Linked DNA regions of Caenorhabditis elegans. The protein of the gene in region 2 interacts with the protein of the main gene of each other region in a biochemical or structural test. Each region holds a gene or a part of one and is shown on either strand. Other genes may lie near its edges.

What was found.
Region 1: of the proteins of baf-1 (region 2) and lem-4, one has a biochemical effect on the other in vitro, tested with the Caenorhabditis elegans proteins (one study listed by BioGRID).

Annotation. Positions count from the first base shown.
Region 1 is NC_003282.8:848,337-856,809, reverse strand, and holds lem-4 (Ankyrin repeat and LEM domain-containing protein 2 homolog), read left to right. Parts: upstream 1-2,047; 5' UTR 2,048-2,112; coding exon 2,113-2,177; intron 2,178-2,431; coding exon 2,432-2,527; intron 2,528-2,575; coding exon 2,576-2,821; intron 2,822-4,371; coding exon 4,372-4,816; intron 4,817-6,145; coding exon 6,146-6,934; intron 6,935-7,233; coding exon 7,234-7,404; 3' UTR 7,405-7,541; downstream 7,542-8,473. Other genes in the region: Y55F3BR.11 (Ground-like domain-containing protein), read right to left, coding at 1-148, 796-908, 995-1,085; lgc-33 (Neurotransmitter-gated ion-channel ligand-binding domain-containing protein), read right to left, coding at 7,960-8,088, 8,454-8,473. UniProt on the Caenorhabditis elegans protein: Involved in mitotic nuclear envelope reassembly by promoting dephosphorylation of baf-1 during mitotic exit.
Region 2 is NC_003281.10:9,465,384-9,469,166, forward strand, and holds baf-1 (Barrier-to-autointegration factor 1), read left to right. Parts: upstream 1-2,080; 5' UTR 2,081-2,085; coding exon 2,086-2,208; intron 2,209-2,263; coding exon 2,264-2,410; 3' UTR 2,411-2,675; downstream 2,676-3,783. Other genes in the region: B0464.6 (uncharacterized protein), read right to left, coding at 1-87; B0464.9 (putative protein phosphatase methylesterase 1), read left to right, coding at 390-461, 516-755, 803-912, 962-1,496, 1,542-1,679; tag-342 (transcription initiation factor TFIID subunit 13 family protein), read left to right, coding at 2,774-2,852, 3,012-3,183, 3,227-3,410, 3,456-3,544, 3,638-3,783. UniProt on the Caenorhabditis elegans protein: DNA-binding protein which plays an essential role in nuclear envelope formation. Required for normal chromosome segregation during mitosis. Associates with the nuclear lamina via its interaction with LEM domain containing proteins emr-1 and lem-2.

The DNA.
Region 1 (8,473 bases), on a different chromosome or scaffold from region 2:
TATACATACTCAAGTTAATATCATTAACAGCACAAAACGTGTCCATACTCGTCGCCCGATCATCCACATATCCATTTACACGATGATATGACGTGGCACTGACAAGCCATGTGCCACCGGAAGACGCGAAATTCGGGATTAGGGCGGTCTGGAATATATACTTTTGAGTGCAAATTTTGTCGGTGGTGGTGCTCACGGGCTTCTGGTCTTCCTCAATGCATTTTTGGCGTTAATCTACCACGACCATGGCCGAGCTCAAATGGCCTAGTTCGGCAGACTTTTACATTCAAAAATTCGTGGGAAGCCAGAAGCGCGTGGCTGCTCCAAACACTTTAATTTTAAAACTCTGTAATTTTTTTTCCGGTTTTTATTTTTTCGAATGTAAATGAAAAGATTCCAGAAAGTCGTTTTGAAATTATTGGAATTGGAACATTTGGTGATTTTAGTATAAACAACTAAATTAAAATCTATATTTTTATTTCATAAGCCTACGTCTAAGCTCAAGCCTAAACCTAAGCCTGATTCTAAGGCCAAGCCTAAGCCGACGCCTAATCCTAAGCTTAAACCTAAGCTTAAGCCTAACCCTACGGTTAAGCCTAAACTTAAGACTAATCCTAAGGATAAGTCTTAGCCTAATTGTAAGCCTAAGCCAAAGCTAATCCCGAAACTATGAAATTTTACACTGAAATTGTTAGGTTTAACACAAAAATTTGCGAGAACTCGAAAATTTGTAAGAAAATAGATAAGAAAATGTTTTTCGAATTTTTTCGGCGAAAAAAAAAGAAAAAAACTCACTTGAATAGCTGCCTGAACTTGATCAACGGCGATTGCCTTTGGATTTGTAATATTTTGCAATGCATTGAAGACTACTTGTCTTAAATCCTTATTTGTACAGAATAGAGCGTCGACTGAAAAAAAACTTTGAAAAGAATGTTTTTTCTCAGATTTTTTTTAGTTTCAAATCAAAAATAATTGTTTCCCAGTAAAAACTTACTATTCGGCAAAACTCCACGATCATCATTTCTAACAGGAAAACTGTGTGAAAACGCAAAAAATACGTGGAACAGAAGCAAAAATCGGCGCATTTTCCGGCAGGTGCATCTGGTGACACTGTGTCAGGTGCTCGAAGAGTCAATTAGACACCCCGATAAGAAACATTTTAATTATTCATTTTCTTCTGATAAGTGATAAGGAACATGGTGACGATTTTTCGAAAATCGGGGAGAATGCAAACGCGCTTCGTTGAGAATCCGGCGAAAAAATCTGGAAAAAATTGATATTTTCTGAAAAATTGGGATGTTACTGTGCATGTTTCCGAAAACCCCGATTTTTTGTGATGAAAATTACCAAAAATGTAGTTTTTTTTTTGAAAAGTTGACTGAAAATTCGAATTTTTCGTAAAAATTTCATCAAAAACCCAAATTGTGCAGCAAAAAAATTTGTGGCCTAACTTTTTGTTTAGGTGGCCTAGGATTTTTTTGTTGACAAATGCGAGAAAATGCGAAAAATTACCAGAATATTTGAATTTCACGTGAAAATTTTATCATAAACCCCAAGTTTTGCATTTAAAAATTGGTGGCCTAACTTTTTTCTGGTGGCCTAGAAATTTTTACTGAAAAATTAGAAAAAACCGCAAAAAATTAGAAACAGTTAACTGAAAATTCGGATTTTTCGTTAAAATTTCATCAAAAACCTCAAGTCTTGCAACAAAAAATTGGTGGCCTAATTTTTTTGTGATGGCCTAGGAATATTTTGCTGCAAAAATGCGGGAAAACCGCGTGAAATTAGAAAAAGTTAATTGAAAATTTGAAATTTTCGTAAAAAACTTCATCAAAAACCTCAAGTTTTGCAAAAATTTGCAACAAAAAAATTGGTGGCCTAACTTTTCTTTAGGTGGCCTAGTGATTTTTTTGCTGAAAATTCAAATTTTTCGTAAAAAAATGACTGAAAATCCGCCAGGTTTTCACAAATTAGCAGATAAAACTGCGCTCTATTGCAATATTTATTCGAAAAAATTCGAAAATCATGTGATAGTTGCGAAATTCGAGCTGTTTTTGTTGCCTCATCACTTTTTTCTGTTTCTTTTCTCACCAAACTCTTATTCAAGAGTTTATGGGGCGAAAATCTGCAATTCTAGCTGTAATTCTTGCTATAATATATTTCAGAAGTAATTTCAGGTGACTTTACATTATTTAATATATTTTTTTGCAAAAAAATCGATCGATTTTCAGCGATTTTAAGTTTACCCCCTGAGAGAGTGTAGGAAAGTGAGAGACGGAGACAGAAAGCGCTACAACGACGCTCCGATATTGCGGGTTGCATGTTGTTTAGCGTATTTCAGCGGGTGTTTTAAATGAGGAAATATCGGTTTTTATCGGTTTTTTATTGGATTTTCGTCGATTTTTCTCATTTTTTAATTGTTTTTTTGCAGTAAAATGTCAAATACACCGGTGCAGGAGACTGAGGGACCGGTCTACGTGGCATATTCCATGGAAGATATGCTAAAATCGCCCAGAGACTTGTATAAGTGAGTTTTTACTCGATTTTTCGCTGAAAATTTCGATTTTTTTTACAGAAGCGTCAAGGAAGTGGCGAAATTCGTGAACTCGGCCGAAGGAAAAAGCATGTCGGCTCGTTTTAAGAAATTCGGAACGCCACGAGAAGCGATGGACTTTCTCGCGTACGGAGATGCGCCGACGACACCGAAAACCGTGCCGCCCGTCGCCCCAACTGAGCCAAATTCACCGTTTTCCGGTGTAAATCGCATTCAAATGAATGAATTCAAGAAATATGTGGAAAAAGGAGATATGGAGAATTTTTTGTAAGGATTGTGAAATTTTTGAAAAATTGGCGAAAAGTAGATATAATTCTCGATTTATTACAAAAAAAAATCCGGCACTGTTATAGTTTTTAGCTGAAAAAATTGAAAAATCTGTACAAAAAGATGGATATTTCCGCAGTTTTGCTGGAAAAAAGCCTTTTTCTCGAAATTTTCCCATAGAAGGTGGATTTTTCCCAAAAAAACCAGACTTTTTCGAGAAGTTATCGATTTTGATCCGAGTTTTCACCATAATTATCTATTTTTTCTATCATTTTCCTTTTTTTTTTCCTTGAATTTCTTTAAAAATTTATTTTCCCCCTAGTATCCTTTAAAAATTCGATTTTCACTCAAATTTTCACAAAAATTATCAATTTTTTGGAATTTTTATCAAAAACTAGATTTTTCCCGGATTTCCCCAAAAAAAAATCGATAGCTTATCAAATTTTTACCAAAAAAAAAATTTTTGGAATTTTTACCAAAAATTATCGAATTTTCCTAGAAAATCCCAAAAAAATGGGGTTTCCCGAATTTCCCCAAAAAAAAAAAGCGGACTTTTTTCCAAAATTTTTCACAAAAATATTGATTTTCACCCAAATTTTTGGAATTTTTACTAAATATCCCACAAAAATTAATTTTTTCGAATTTCCCCCTAAAAAATTATTTAAAAAACCGATTTTTTTCAAATTTCTCACAAAATGATTGATTTCTTACCAAATTTTCACCAAAAATAGATTTTTGGAATTTTTACTTAAAATAATCGTGTTTTTCCAAATTTCTCTTGAAAATCGATTTCCCCTAAAAAAATTACAAAAAAAAATCGATTTTTACTCGAATTTTCACCAAAACTTTCGATTTTTCGGAATTTCCAACAAAATTATCACTTTTCATGAATTTTTCTCAAATATCCTTCAAAAAATCGATTTTTCCCGAATTTTTACAAAAATGCCGATTTTCTGTAATTCCGGTCAGAAATTATCGATTTTTTTCAAATTTTCATTTGAAAAATCCAAAAAAAACCTTTTTTTTTTCTTAATTTCCACCAAAATCACTGCAACTTTTTCCTCACGAGGGACGAGGAAAAATGGTTTCTAGGCCATGGCCGAGAGGCCGACAAGTTTCAGCAAAAAAATTCGAGATTTTCGCACAAAAAGTTGAATTTTGAAAATCTCAAAACTTTTTCAGCGGTCTCGTTATGAAAATCAGGTAGTCTCAGCATTTAAGCATCATATGTATCATGTTTCAGAAAAAGTTTAGGTTTTGTATTCCCGTAATCCATCATTTTACATTGACCACTTTCACCGCTGCTTGCCCACTGAATACATGATTTTTTTACTTGGAAATTGTTTTAGCATCTGCAAAAAATATTTATTCATCAGTTTTATTAAGAAAAAACGAAAAAAATCGATGAAAAACGAAAGAAAACAGGCGGAAAACAAAGCAAGATAAATGGCCGCTGAAACTTGTCGGCCTCTCGGCCATGGCCTAGAAACCATTTTTCCTCGTCCCTCGTGAGGAAAAAGTTGCAGTGAAAATTATCGATTTTCTTGCAGACGCCTCGTCGATTCGAATCCACGTTTTCTCGTGAATACCGGTGGTGACGTGGCATCAATTGTGATGGAAGGATTCCGTTATAATGCTCTACACATTGCCGCCAAAGCCGGCCAAACGGAAATAATCGCAAAAATTCTGGAACTCATTCAAAATATCGATTTTCTGATTCGCCTGTACGGCACCGGCGCCGATGACGTCACGCTACGAAAAATCAATATTCTGGATTCATATTTAAATACGCCGGACAAAGGAAACTCGGATACCCCACTACATTTTGCTTCGAAATTCGGAAAAATCGGCGTTGTTCGAGTTTTGACTGAAAATTCCGCGACGGATAGGACACTGCTCAACAAATCCGGAAAAAGCGCGTTGGATTGTGCCGGCGAACGATATACGGGAGAGGATAAGGATATGGTGCAACGGGATATTCATTTGGCTATTGAGGTGCGGGAAATTACCAATTTTCCGCGATAAAAATTGAGAAAAAACGGGAAAAATTGCGGAAAAATCGATTTTTTCGTTTAAATTTTATCAAAAACTCCAATTTTTGCAACAAAAAAAAATTGGTGGCCTAGAATTTTTCACTGAAAAATGACAAAAACAGCGAAAAATTACCGAAAAATTCGAATTTTTGTAACAAAAAAAAATGGTGGCCTAACTTTTTCTTCAGGAGGCCTAGGAATTTTATGGGAAGAAATTGCGGAAAATTCGATATTTTCGTAAAATTATGACTAAAAACCGCCAATTTAGTTAGAACATAAGATTATGGCCTAACTTTTTTCTGGTGGCCTAGGTTTCTTTTTGCTGTAAAAATGCGGGAAATTACGAATTTTCCTGAAAAATTTGAGAAAAAAGGAGAAAAAACCCAATTTTTTTGTGGTGAAAATAGCCAAAAATGCAATTTTTTTTCTGAAAATTGTGAAAAATCAAGTTTTCTAGCCTGATCCTGCAAAAAACCACCGGAAAAATCCAATTTTTTTTCGTTAAAATTTCTAAGATTTGAGCAACAAAAATTGGTGGCCTAGGTTTTTTTACTGCAAAAAAATCGAAAAAAAACTCGAAAAATTACCGGAAAATTAGAATTTTTCGTTAAAATTCAATAAAAACCCCTATTTTTGCAACAAAATTGGTGGCCTAACTTTTTTTCTGATGACCTAGAAAAGATTTCCGTATTTCTAGGCCACCTGAATATCAAGTTAGGTCATTAATGTTTTGCGCAAAAATAAAGATATTCCATTTTCGCAATATTTTTCATCCAAAAAATGGAACTTTTGGATTTTCAAAATTTCTAGGCCACCTGAACAAAAAGTTAGGCCACCAATTAATTTTTTGCGCTAAAGAGAATTCAGAAATTCCCAATTTTCCAGTATTTTTTATTAAGAAAATGGAACTTTCTAGATTTTCAAAGTTTCTAGGCCACCAATTTTTGGGTGCAAAAAAATCGGAAAAAAAAGTTGGTGGGCTAAGTATTTCTATGATGGCCTAGGAAACTCCAGGAAAAAAGTTAGGCCGCCAATGTTTTTTTCCGAAAAAAAGTCAGAAATTGCGAGTCTTGCAGTATTTTGTCTACAAAATTTTTTGTGTTTTAAAAATTTCTAGGCCACTAAAATACAGAAAGTTAGGCCACCAATCTTTTTGCGCCAAAAATTCAAAGAAAACACCTTTTTTTGAGAAAAAAAATTGATGGCCTAACTTTTCCTACATGGCCTGCGAAAAAGTTAGGTCATTATTTTTTTTAATGCGAAAAAAAAACTTTAAATCAATTTTTTTCAGGGTTTCTACGTATTTCTGCACCGAAATCCAACAACCGGCTCCACACAGCTTACAGTATCCCAGAAGCCGCCGGCTACCTACAGTACCTCGCCGACCACAGCTACAGTAACCGTGTCAGCACAGGCGGGACCATTTTTCACGGAGCGAGAAGCTCGAGATTTCGCAAAAAGCTGGCAAACCGCGGGAAAAGAGCTGAAACGAACGGATTTCGATAAAGGATGGGAACGTGTCGGCCGTGTGCTCGCCGAGCAATCAGAAGCCATGTGGCGAGAGACTTGGCACTTCTTGGGCTCTATGGAGCTTCTCGATTTGGGCTCCGAGCAGGGACTGGGCGTGCTGGAAGCGTTTTTACGCGAAAAACGGCGAGGAAATCTGAGAAATTCTGAGATTTCCGAAATTTCCACGAAAAAATCGATATTTCGACGAGGAATTCACGCTAGAAAGTTGGATTTTGGAATTTTGGATGGAGAAAAATCGGCGGAAATATCTGAAAATTTAACCCCAGACGGATCCGATTCCGCTGACGACGAAGACGACGATGACATATTCTACGACACATTCTCTGAAATTCCGGCCGCCGCTGAAAAATCGATAAACGATCCGGACGACACGCTCGGAAGTCTCACCGATCGATTTGCGGCGATTTCGATTTTTTCGCCGTTGCCGCCGCCGCCGCCGCCGCAATGGTCAAATTCGCCGAATTTTGATTATTCTGAAGGCGAGGATTCGTTTGCGACGCCGCCGACAACGCCGCCGCCGACTTTTGTGGCAGATGATGAGCCATGCAAGGTTCGAAATGGGAAAAATCGATAAAAATTGATAATTTTAGTGGAAAATCGTTAAAAATCGTGTATAAGCGAGTGGAAATTGTTTAAAATTCAAAAATTTTGGGCAAAAGTCGATAACTTCAGTGGAAATTTTCTGAAAATCAATTTTTCCTAGAAAAATCGATAATTTTCGAGAAAAATCGACAAAAATACAAAAAAAAAATCAATTTTTGTTTAAAATTCTGAAATATCGATTTCCCTGAAAATTCAAGAAAAACTGAAAAAATCGATAATTCCTCAATAAAATCACATTTTTTCCAGATCGACAACGACTTATTCGAAGTTTTGGCTCAAATTTCATCTGAATTGATCTCCAAATTCCCGCTCACTCAAGACTACGTTCAGAAACTGGGAAAATTGACGGCTCATGACAGATCCACGTGGCGTCCGATCGATTCGCCGGCCCGATGCGATTCCAGGCGAAAAATTTAATAATTTTAATAGTTTTACGACATTTCCCACACTTTTTTTAATCATTTTTCCACTGAAACATATCTGAAAATCGATCTTTTTTTTTTTAATTTATTAAAAATTCTTGTAAATACCGAATGAAACTTTGACAACTTGAGATTAAAGTCTATCATTTTGCAGAAAAATCAATAATTTTCGCAGAAAAATCAATAATTTCCTAGAAAATCAATAATTGTGTAGAAAAATCGATAATTTGGAAGAAAATCAATAATTTTGCAGAAAAATCGATAATTTGGAAGAAAAATCAATAATTTTGCAGAAAAATCGATAATTTGGAAGAAAAATCAATAATTTTGCAGAAAAATCGATAATTTGGAAGAAAAATCAATAATTTTGCAGAAAAATCGATAATTTCCAAGAAAAATCAATAATTTCCTAGAAAAATCGATAGTTTTGCAGAAAAAATTGATTCGAAAATTCATTATTTAACTTCCTATCTCAAGGAGTTTACAGTTTCCAGCTGAAAAGAGAAGTTCAAAATTAAATTTTTCCAAAAAATCCAGAAAATGTTTATTTTCAATCGATAACTATGACAATAATTGCATAAATCAATAGAAAAGTGAGATAGGACAAGAAAATACAGAAAAGGGCCGCCCGTTTTCGATTTCCCAACATGGCGGTCGTGATTTGGCGTTGGATGGGCGTCTGAAAATTGGAAAATGAGATACTTTTGTTAAAAATCGATAATTTTTGTGATAAAATCAATCAATTTTTATGAAAATTGATAACATCCGGTAAAAATCAATAAGTTTGGTGAAAATCGATAATTTTCTGAAAATCAATAAAATTGCAAAAAAAAAAACAATGAATTTCCATCAAAATCGATAATTTTTTTCAGAAAGCGATAAATTTTCAAAAAACATGACTATTTTATCAAGACATGAACTTTTTTAACACAAAGTTCCGGAAAAATCAATAATTTTTCATTAAAACTATAAATTACGAAAAATTGTGAATTTTTGAGAATTATCGATTTTTCAACCGAATAGTAATAAATCAATAAAACCTACCGGTCCAGGACATGCGGTGA
Region 2 (3,783 bases):
TGACCGGTTTGATGCCTGTGATGTGTTGAGTAATGAATAGTCTGCATTTTGACTTTTCAGTCGTTCGCGGAGTGAATCCGCAGTCATTGTGAACCTGTAACACACTAGAGTTGATGTAAAGCTTGCGATTAGATTAATATTTATATTAAAACAACAAATTAGTGAGAAAAATCACAGAAAAAACATTTTCGAGGGAGTTTTCGATAAAATATTTTCGAATCTTTTTGTCCTCGTGTACTACGAGCGCGTTGGCCTAGAAAACGCATGTCAGCATTTTCTAGGCCATTTCGGAGATTTTTAATAATTTTATTTTTTTGGCTCAATTTTAATAAATATAGCTTTCTATTTAATTGTCTTAAATATTTAAATATATTAATTTACAGATCACCATGTCCGACGATAAATTAGACACTCTTCCGGATCTTCAATCGGAAACGTCACATGTCACAACTCCTCACAGGGTACATTAATAGTGAAAATTAACAAGATGATGTTTTATTAAATATCAATTTCAGCAAAATGATCTTCTTCGTCAAGCGGTCACTCATGGAAGGCCACCACCAGTTCCGAGCACATCAACTTCTGGAAAGAAACGAGAAATGTCTGAACTACCGTGGTCAGATTTTTTTGATGAAAAGAAGGACGCAAACATTGATGGAGATGTTTTCAATGTGTACATAAAGGGAAATGAAGGTCCAATTTTCTATTTGCTTCACGGTGGAGGTTATTCAGGCCTCACATGGGCGTGTTTTGCGGTATGTTTTGTTCTATTCTAGTGTCAGTCATTAATGGTTCTGTTCAGAAAGAATTGGCAACTTTAATATCATGCAGAGTTGTTGCACCTGATTTAAGAGGACACGGCGACACTAAATGTTCTGATGAGCACGATCTTTCGAAAGAAACCCAAATAAAGTGAGGTTTCGCTTTGATAAGTTTTGTAACTTCTATCGACATATTGTAGAGATATTGGAGCAATCTTCAAGAACATTTTCGGCGAAGACGATTCACCAGTATGCATTGTTGGACACAGTATGGGTGGTGCATTGGCCATTCATACATTGAATGCAAAGATGATTTCTTCAAAAGTCGCTGCACTCATTGTCATTGATGTTGTCGAAGGTTCCGCTATGGAAGCACTTGGAGGAATGGTTCATTTTTTACATTCAAGGCCTTCTTCATTTCCTTCTATCGAAAAAGCCATTCACTGGTGCCTTTCTTCGGGTACAGCGAGGAATCCCACAGCTGCACGGGTCTCAATGCCGTCTCAAATTAGAGAAGTATCGGAACACGAGTACACTTGGCGAATTGATTTAACAACAACAGAACAGTACTGGAAAGGATGGTTTGAAGGATTATCCAAAGAATTTTTGGGATGTTCCGTTCCGAAGATGCTTGTTCTAGCGGGCGTTGATCGGCTGGACAGGGATCTCACAATTGGTCAAATGCAGGGAAAGTTTCAGACTTGTGTGTTACCAAAAGTTGGACATTGTGTTCAGGTAAATGTTATACTCAATTAATAATTTATATAAATTGTCTTGCAGGAAGATAGCCCACAAAATCTTGCAGATGAAGTCGGAAGATTCGCTTGCCGCCATAGAATTGCCCAACCGAAATTCTCAGCCCTTGCATCACCACCAGATCCAGCGATTCTCGAATACAGAAAACGTCATCACCAATAATTGCTCATTTTGTTTTCCAATATTTTCACAACATTTCTATACAAGTTAAGAAAAAAATATTTTATATGAAAAGATTATCGATTAAATTTCCCGTCTTTTTAGTTCTTGGGAATAATAAATGTCAGCGACATACGAATGAATCGATTATTTTAGAGGAGAGGCAGATGCCAAAAAATTACAGTCAAAAAGAAGTATTCGTGAAAGAGTGCGCAAATCGAGAGACGCAGACAGAATGCAAACGCGCTCCGCTGAACTGTGGCCGCCAAGCGTTTCGTTTAAAAGGGAGCGTTGTCTATTTTCCTATCTATTCTTGCCAGTTTTATTTTATTTCGCAACTATCTTTTTACTACGATTTTCGAAAATATTTTCAAATTCAAGAATGTAATTATTTTGTGTTTCAGAAACCATGTCGACTTCTGTTAAGCATCGTGAGTTCGTCGGAGAGCCAATGGGCGACAAAGAAGTCACATGCATCGCCGGGATCGGGCCAACATATGGCACCAAGCTCACCGATGCAGGCTTCGATAAAGTATGTAGATTTTTTTTTCTCAAATTTTCGATCAATGTTAAAATTTGAATTTCAGGCCTACGTACTGTTCGGACAGTATCTCCTTCTGAAGAAAGACGAGGATTTGTTTATCGAATGGCTGAAAGAGACGGCTGGAGTGACTGCAAATCACGCGAAGACGGCGTTCAATTGTTTGAACGAGTGGGCAGATCAGTTCATGTAAACTGCTCAATATTTCTGCTAAGCATCGATTTGATTCTCCTCTATAATCATCAATGGCCATATTTGCACTTCGAAAAACACCATTTGTTCCAGTGTAGTCGTTTTCCGCTTTGCGACTATGCCCCATTTCAAATTAATCTGTTTCTGAAATATTTCTCATACTTCCAAGTTTTCCCCCTTGTCGTGTGGTCTTGGACTACGGTTCTTGTTTTGTTTTTGACTTTAATTTTGCGATTTTTCTCCCTCCAAATAAAATATTTTCTACGATCCTGAAGAGTGTTTCTAAGTTTTTTATTACGAAAGTTGTCGTTCGAAAGTTTACTTGGAATAAAAACAATATTTTCTATTCTATGGTGATTTCCAGATGCCTCCGAAAAGGGCTGTGAAAAAGAAGGTACAGACCACAGAAAAAGCTCGCCCAACATTGGATCAGGAGATAAAATGTGAGCATTTTTACACGGGTTGGCGGCAATTCGACAATTATCGAAGTTAAAAATTAATTTTTTTTTTCAAAAAATATACTGAAAAATACATTTTCAAATGTGTGTTTCCAAAAAAGTTTCGGATTTGTTACAATATTCACACGGAATTTATTTTTTCAGTAGATGACTCAAATGAGCTTGAACCATCGATTCGAAGTGTTGTGACGAGTTTGATGTTCACTTCGGGAGACGACGAAAATCCACTTTCTGAAAATGAAGATTTCGTTGTGAATATACTGAAAAACGAGTTGGTTCTCTTTATTAACGATGTTATAGAGGTTTATGATAATAAGTAAGCAGATTTTTTTTTTCCGAAATAATTCAAACATTTACAGAATTCCAAATGTGAAGCTACAACATATGCTTCAACTTCTCAACAGTCAAAAAGGAGTACTTTCTCGTTTTATTAAATATCTCAAGAATCGTGTGGAAATGTCGGCATTCATGAGAGCGAAATCATTTTCTAAAAACGGAACTGAAAATATTTGTGGACAAGAAGTAGAGAATGAAGATGAAACGGTCTGTAAAACTGAAAAAAATTAAATTTAGAATAATTACTTTCAGACTGATGAAAAGATAGAAGAGGGAGTTGATCCAATGGATGAAATTGGTGAAGTTGGTGGAGAAGAGGGAGAATATTTGAAAAATAAGAGGTTATTACTATTACTGTCTTAATTTGTATTTTTGGGGGCAAAAAATCGAATTTTTGCGTCTGAAAATATTAGAAAATTTTTGAAATATTACAGGAGAACGTACGGTACAATTACATCCGAGGAAAACCTGCTTCAAGAAGCTCAAAAGTCGTTTTTCGATGCTGGATTAGATTTCAATACATTCGAAAATGATGTGGATGAGAATCACAATCAACAATTAATAGTTCTTCAAACAATTC